Linked DNA regions of Danio rerio. The protein of the gene in region 1 interacts with the protein of each later gene in a pairwise test. Links are inferred from orthologs where the notes say so. Each region holds a gene or a part of one and is shown on either strand. Other genes may lie near its edges.

Region 1 (4,369 bases):
GTCACACAAGTGCCAATTTCACATCCATAACAAAGCTTTTCCCTCATAAATCCAAAAAAGGTCAATAAATTAAAATCAATCAGGTTTGTTCAATGGAGAGCAACTCTTATGCTTAGCATTATTTCTTTTGGGTTGTGCAGTTTAATTCACAGTATTTCTACAAGGTGTGTTGTGCACTGTAAACTCCCAGACTTTTTTTGGTCAATCGAGGCATGGGAGGTTAACCATTTTCAAGGTATAACCGCGGTTTGGAAAAGTCAAGATTTTAAAACCGACAACATTTACTGTAACACCATTCCAAAGGTATGTGTAAGATTTTTTTTAAATGTTTTTTTTTTTTTTTTTTTAGGACAAGAGTATCTCCATCAGAAAAGATATGCAAAGATGCGGTTTTAAATTGTAAAGAAGTCTGTGCGTTTGAAACTAATGAAGACAGCAGAAGTCAGTAATTCATTTTTAATATAGAATAAATGACCAAACATTCATATAATATTCATACTAATATTCAGTCTGACATGTTTACTTCTGCAAAATATTTTAAATGTTTCTCAAATCTCAAAATAAGATATATTGTGTTTAAAAGGGGAAAAAAGTTTTTGTTTTTTTACCCAGACATTCAAAGAGACCATATTTAAGAGCAGTAATCACAATACTGTGAAACTGATAATTTTATTCAAGGTTATCATACTGTCAGAATCTATACCGGCCCATGCTTAGTCAAATCCATAGCGCATGTTTATTTTCCTCATTTAAAATATAAAGCATGTTTACAGATTTGTATTTTTCTGATCCCGTAACTCTGTGGTGAGTTGTTTTAGAAAATATAAACAGATGTTTTAATATAATGTTAACATATACTTTCTCTGCAAATTTATGTTTTGAGATTTTACTGCAAGCATCACATCTGTAACGCTGGAATTGCACTTTTACAATCTAGTCATGCAGTTATATTCACATGCAGAAATGTATATGTAACGGAGGCCAGCTAGTGTGTGCTGTGCAGGTAAACCTCACTCCTCTGACCTCTAAAGGTGCTCTAGCGACAGCCGCTAGAGGCCATGGTATTTAGCCTCCTTGGTAGAGCACCCAACTCCCATGCGGAAGGTCGCCGGTTGGATACCAGCTCGGAGCAGGTTGGGTGGCACAGGACTGGTGGGGTTACATTGGTGCCGTGACCCGGTTGGGAGTGAGGTTTAGGGGGTGAGTGTAGCGGAGGCCAGCTAGTGTGTGCTGTGCAGGTAAACCTCACTCCTCTGACCTCTAAAGGTGCTCTAGCGACAGCCGCTAGAGGCCATGGTATTTAGCCTCCTTGGTAGAGCACCCAACTCCCATGCGGAAGGTCGCCGGTTGGATACCAGCTCGGAGCAGGTTGGGTGGCACAGGACTGGTGGGGTTACATTGGTGCCGTGACCCGGTTGGGAGTGAGGTTTAGGGGGTGAGTGTAGCGGAGGCCAGCTAGTGTGTGCTGTGCAGGTAAACCTCACTCCTCTGACCTCTAAAGGTGCTCTAGCGACAGCCGCTAGAGGCCATGGTATTTAGCCTCCTTGGTAGAGCACCCAACTCCCATGCGGAAGGTCGCCGGTTGGATACCAGCTCGGAGCAGGTTGGGTGGCACAGGACTGGTGGGGTTACATTGGTGCCGTGACCCGGTTGGGAGTGAGGTTTAGGGGGTGAGTGTAGCGGAGGCCAGCTAGTGTGTGCTGTGCAGGTAAACCTCACTCCTCTGACCTCTAAAGGTGCTCTAGCGACAGCCGCTAGAGGCCATGGTCTTTAGCCTCCTTGGTAGAGCACCCGACTCCCATGCGGAAGGTCGCGGTTCGATACCAGCTCGGAGCGGGTTGGGTAGCGTAGGACCGGCAGGGTTACATATACATAGTAGGTACAAATATAGATTGTAAAGTTTATAAACTATATGTAAATACACTTCACATTATTTAGGATGCAATTATATTATTATTTTGGATGTGATTAATCATTTTTCAGCTCTAATATTAATAAAGGAACAAGTCATCTTTACAGATCAACGACAAGGATAGTGGAATGTTAAAATTAAAAAGCAAGTCGGCGGCAACAGCCTAGTGGTTAAGTGACATATTGCACTGAGGTGTTAACGGCGACCTGAGTTTGATTCCCGACTCGAGGTCCGTTGCCGACTTTTCCCATCTCTCGGCTTCCAATGCTTTCCTGTCTGTAACCTCCACTATCCTATCCCAATAAAAAAGGTGAAAACCCCCTTAAAATATTAATATTAAAAAGGAAAATGTATGATGACTAATAAGTATTTTGGGTCTGCAATGTGATTTGATTTTTAATAAATAGTATTGTATAATTTCTTTTAATGTTCGGTTAGGCTATTTTCATGGCAAAACAGAAAGAAAAAAGAAAATATAAATAAAGTTAAGACAATAATATCAGCAAACAAACAAACATAACTTACATTACGTAGGATTTTTGTGTGAAATATGTAATAAGTTTTTTACTTTCTCTGACAAAAACCTGTGAGTTTATAAGTAAGATTTCTACAAACCTTAACAGCAGGACAGACTAATAAAATATCTGTAACAGATCCTTACCTTTTAGTTGAAATTTGTTTTGACAAATCAATCTAGTTTAGACTCGTAAATAAACTCTTTAATATGTCATCAGATGATTATTGTTTTAAAATAAATACGGCTTTATTAAAAAAAACTTAATAAATATACGTATATCTACTTTTAAAACAAAATAACATTTCTTTCAAATCAAGAGAGGAAAGAAAACAATCGGAAGTCAAACTAATTAGATAAATACTTTAACGTTATATAAATATCTGACGATGACAGTTTGTACAATAATAACAAGAATAGATAAGATTTTCTCTATGAGAGTAAATGAGAGTAAAAATAAAGGCAGAAAACAGAAATACTGTCATATTTACATGAGCAAGAAGAAAACAAAAACACAAAATGGCTTACCTTTAATCCTCAAAACACCGTCTTCTGCTGCTACAGAGTCATTAAAAGTATATCATTCGATTAAAGATGAGAAATATAACATTTAACATACATAAAACTACATACAAAAGAGGTAAACTCGCTAATGTGCAGCGACTTCTGCTTCCGCAATTCACAGGCACGATGTGTTGATGCCAGAGTCGATGATGTCAGGGAGAAAAGAGCGCCGATCACATCGATGAGTCCTAGATAGTCAGGAAATGTATGACTTTAATTGTATTATTTTTATATTTTATGATGATTGTTTTTGTGCCAATTATAGTGTTTGGACATAATGCATTAATATATCTATAGTATCTATAATAATATCCATAATATCTATGCTAAGCTTATAAGCAAGATTTGCTTATAATTCCGATAAGGCTTATTACAATTTAATTAGCTGACTTTACAAAGAAAACAACAGTGATTTAAATGCTTTATTTAAAATTGAGCGTGTTAACTGTTCACAATACGTAATGTGTGCTGACAAAATTGGGTTGATATGATTCATTCACACTTTTATTAATATCATTTGCTGTTTAGGTAGACTTTCATGAGTACAGTGAATACAAGAATACTGAAATATTAAAATTGTTGACATTGCATAATGTGTATATTTAATATTTTAGTTTACAACATAGAGCACAATATCAGTAAAAAAAAAAAACTTAGAGGATGCACGTATATGTATTATAAACACAATAGTTACATAAAAATAACAAATACATTTTCTGTCATATTATAAACCATGACATTTTTCATATATATATATATATATATATATATATATATATATATATATATATATATATATATATATATATATATATATATATATATTCATATTAACAATTTTCATATAACAATACTGTACATCTGTACATAACAATGTCCTGTACATCAATTTACAATATAGGTCTGAAATGTGAAGGTTAAGGTGAAAGGTGTAAATCAGCCTGACTAGTGAGATATTTACATGTGTGCATGTGACATGGTGACTGATGTAATTATGAATAAATGATTTAATCTTGAGTAATTATCTCCTGAACTGGATCATGTCACTCTTCAATATGCCGCTGTTTCTCTTTAGTCAGACTGAAGGAAAGCTGAATCACTCGACACTGTCCAGAATCATCTCACATGTGTGAAGAGACAGAAAGTTTCTCTGTTTTCTCGTGGTTTTCTCTCTTCATGACGTGCTCCATCACAGGTGGAGGAAACAGAAAGAGCATCCGCTTATTTGTGTTTTAATTCTGCAGCATTGAGTTTCTCTGTGAGCAGATATGAATAAAGCAGTTCCTGCAGCATTTCTTCCTCTTCTCTGATGCACATTAATGATGGAGTGTTTCAGTCACTGATGATGATGTTTAGTCGTCCAGCAGAGTCTTTATAAA
Region 2 (3,834 bases), on another chromosome or scaffold:
ACAAACCAGATGACGCAGTGGGTAGCACGTACGCCTCACAGCAAGAAGGTCGCTTGTTCGAGCTTCGACTGGGTCAGTTGGCATTTCTGTGTGGAGTTTGCATGTTCTCCCCGTGTTCGTGTGGGTTTCCTCTGGGTGCTCCGGTTTCCCCCACAGTCCAAAGACATGTGGTATAGATGAAATGGGTATGCTAAAATTGACCATAGTGTATGAGGGTGGTGTGTGAATGAGTGGGTATGGATGTGTTCGGTGTTGGGTTGCAGCTGGGAGGGCATCCGCTGCGTAAAACATTTGCTGGATAAGTTGGCGGTTCATTCCACAGTGGCGACCCCAGATTAACAAAGGGACTAAGTCGAAAAGAAAATGAATAAATGAATGTTACAAAGCATCTTTGGTTTCAGTTTTCAGACAAGTGCACCCAGAATTTTTCAGTTTCAGATCAGAATTTTGGTTGTGGAGCATCTCTAATAAATAATTATTATATATATTATATTATGCAGTTATTAATACAAGGCTCAAAATTGCGAGCATTTTCGTTGCATATGCGCCTGAAATTTAATCTATGCGACCTCATAAGATATTTGGGAGCATTTGTGCTCTGCATGTAATGGGGATAGTGTGACCTGTTTAGAATTTTTTCTAAAGACATGCTGAATCGCTCTTCCCTGCCGCTATATTGGTTCATATTAGCTGTCAATCACTCAAGGCTTTCTGCTGTCAGATGTTAGGGAGCTTTTGTGACCATGGGAAATGCAAACGGCTGAAGAGTAAAAAAGTAAACAGTAAAATAAAATATAAATCAGTACTTGATATAAATCAAGTAAAATATAAATCAGTGCAAAACGAGACTGAGCATTTAAAATGACAAAAACCCAAACCAAAACCTTTAGAGTGGTAGAACTGAGACTTTTCTTCCTTTCTTTTGTCCATTCTTTCTTGAGATGTTTTTTTTATTTTTCTATTTAGTTACTAACAAAAAAACTGTTGCAAATTTCAGCATTTAATTGAATGATTTATTATAGTCTTTCATTTGTTTTGTTGCAGAAATACTATTTATTAAATTGAGATGCATATTAAAACAATAGTGCAAACTGTATATTTCTTACTGCAATGCTTTATTTTTGTTAAATGCAATTCATATATTTATTTTTCATAATGTAACAGACTTTTGATAGCAAATAACTTGCATTCAAGCACATTCAAGACAGCATGATAATGAGAAATGTAATTCATTGCTAGTATTATTGTCATTTTCGTCATCATTCATTCGTTTTGAAGTTATTGCACAAATATTAATAAGTAATCACAGCATTAGTTAGACAGTTTCTGTTTTTTTTTGTTTGTCCTAATTGATGTTGTTTTCAAATACAATAAATCTTTTAAAATACAATATGCAGTGGTGCTCACTCATTTTTCGTGGGTGCTCCTAAATTTTTTCTGGTGCTCCTAAATATATGAAGTTGGAAGCACTGGCACTACGAAGTAAAAAAGTTGATTTCGAGGCCTGTTATAATATTAACTTTAATTAATAATAACAAAATACAAATAAAACATTCACTGCTCTTGACTAAATATGTTTCATTGCTGTGTTTTATTTAGAATAATTACAAAATACGAAGTTAAATGAATAAAAAGAATAAAATTCCTTGTCTCCGACTTTGAAAACCCCTTCTATATTTCATATTATGACTAAAATTCATGCATCTGAAATTCTGTTTTAATTTACACATGCACCTAAAATAAAGTGTTAACTGATAATTGTTATGAATATCAGCAGCATTAGTATTTAAAATGTACTCAATGTAAAATTGAATACAAAGCTTGCGAATCAGAATCAAATCAAAGGGGTCATCTGAATCGATACGATTAAGTCATTTTTTGCTGGATTCTTCTTTAGGTAAATTATTAATTTGTCAAGTAAATCCACTTGAAAAGAAAGGTTTGTTTTGGTAATCTTCAATCAAAGTCTGATTATTGTCTAATGCCGAGTTCAGACTGCATGATTTTCAAAGTAGTCGTGTCACAGATGTTTTCACACTGCATGACTATCTGGGCTAGCGTTTCGTCGCTGCTTTGTTTACACTGCAAGATGGATCGGCGACAGGGACTTTCATATTGCATGACTTTACTATAGGAAGAACCGCCGACAACTTCGTCCAAACTACGTCTCACAGCCAAAAACATGTCGTATATCTTTTGTTATTAACTACATAATGAGAAAGAAGGCTTTAATGGGGTAGAACATGTACATGTTTGCTTACCTCAGTTTAAAGGGAATTAGCCATTTCTCCTGAACGTTAATAATAAACTAATTTTTTCTGTATGAAACGTCAAACAGACACGGTTGCTCCTGAGTCCTTTCAAAGCTCCACTAGTTTTTCCTCCATTTCGTGGGTCCAAATAAACCGAAAAAGAGCGCTTTTAACTTCTCCCCCAGCCTCCCGCCGGCCTGCAGCAGGTATACACACACGCACACACAAGTGAATGCTGCTCTCTCATTGGCTGTAGGCGATGGCTGATGTTATTTTCTGTCAAAACTCAATTCACACAGCATGATTTGAATCGCCGACAGCTCCAGAAATTTAGCATGCCAAATATCTCACAGGCATCGGCGACTCATCTGCGATTTTCTCAGATCGCGTCTTTGATAGTTTATACTGTGTGATTGTCACTCACGTGCACGAGCAGCGATTTGCCTGTGATTTCAGGCATTTGTCGGCGATTTCTAAAAAACCTGTCAGCGAGCTAAAATCGGGGCTAAAATCACACAGTCTGAACTAGGCATTAATTGCTTACCTGAAATAGTGTTTACTGATTTTTTTTTAATGAATATCAACAGCATTTCTATTAATAATGTATTCAATTAAAAGGAAAACAAATCGAGAGCTTGTGAATAAGAGTCTAATCAAACCAAACGGGTCACCTAAATCGATACCCTTAAGTACCCTTATGTTTATTTGGGTACCGCACATTATTATTCTTTAGGTGAACTATTAATCCTTAAAGTTAATCCACTTAAAAAAAGTTTGTTTTAGTAATCTTCAATGAAAGTTTTTAATTAAAGGATCTGTGTTTCGAGTGACTCTTTTCACTTCTAACATCAGTTTGACCGTTTTACCTACAATATTCTTTACCGTTAGTTTGCTATAAGGAAATGAAGACCAAAAAGAAAGCCCCGCCCCTTAATCAATATTCCGTTACAGTACATCAACACACTGAAATAAAAGTCTCAGCAACTTCCGATTTACATGGACTTTAAGGAGCATTACCTCTCGAACTTGCTTCAGTTATCTGTAGTGCAATTCCATACGAGTTGACAGCAAAGGCATAGTCGGCGCGCTGGTAGTGGACGTTTCCTCTCTCTCGCTTCCTGTTGGCCAGAATGATCCTCTCAGACGGTGGCATGAGCTCCAGGTCCAGGGCTTCATCAGCAGACAACAGCTGCACCTCCAGGAGGAGATCAGCATCAGGAGGAACAGCAGGAGCAGAGCTGAAGGAGAACATCCAACATGAAAAACAGACATGTAAATATATAAACAAAATTAAGAGACAATTCTCTCTAAGAATATACTCAGTGTCTCAGAATTTGCAGTTTATTGCTGTGTGTTTGAGTAAAAAGTTTCTTTTTTTATTATAAATAATAGAAGATACTGATAGATAAATATATGCTGATACTGATATATAAATATATGTATGGTTATAAATATTCACAATGTATTCTGTCTAATTTCTTTTTGATACCATGCAGAATCAAGGCCTTATAAATGGATACAAGTATACTGAATCTAACCTGCCAAGGGCACCATATGCATATTTAGCAGCCGCTTCAATTAA

Evidence for each region.
Region 2: the proteins of zfyve27 (region 1) and fkbp8 interact in binary tests that used the Homo sapiens proteins (3 or more experiments, as listed by UniProt). The link is inferred for Danio rerio from reciprocal best matches to the Homo sapiens genes ZFYVE27 and FKBP8.

What each region holds. Positions count from the first base shown.
Region 1 is NC_133176.1:58,370,528-58,374,896, reverse strand, and holds the start of zfyve27 (protrudin), read right to left. Parts: upstream 3,083-4,369; 5' UTR 2,955-3,082; intron 1-2,954. UniProt on the Homo sapiens protein: Key regulator of RAB11-dependent vesicular trafficking during neurite extension through polarized membrane transport. Promotes axonal elongation and contributes to the establishment of neuronal cell polarity.
Region 2 is NC_133197.1:20,749,582-20,753,415, forward strand, and holds part of fkbp8 (peptidyl-prolyl cis-trans isomerase FKBP8), read right to left. Parts: coding exon 3,791-3,834; intron 3,491-3,790; coding exon 3,270-3,490; intron 1-3,269. UniProt on the Homo sapiens protein: Constitutively inactive PPiase, which becomes active when bound to calmodulin and calcium. Seems to act as a chaperone for BCL2, targets it to the mitochondria and modulates its phosphorylation state.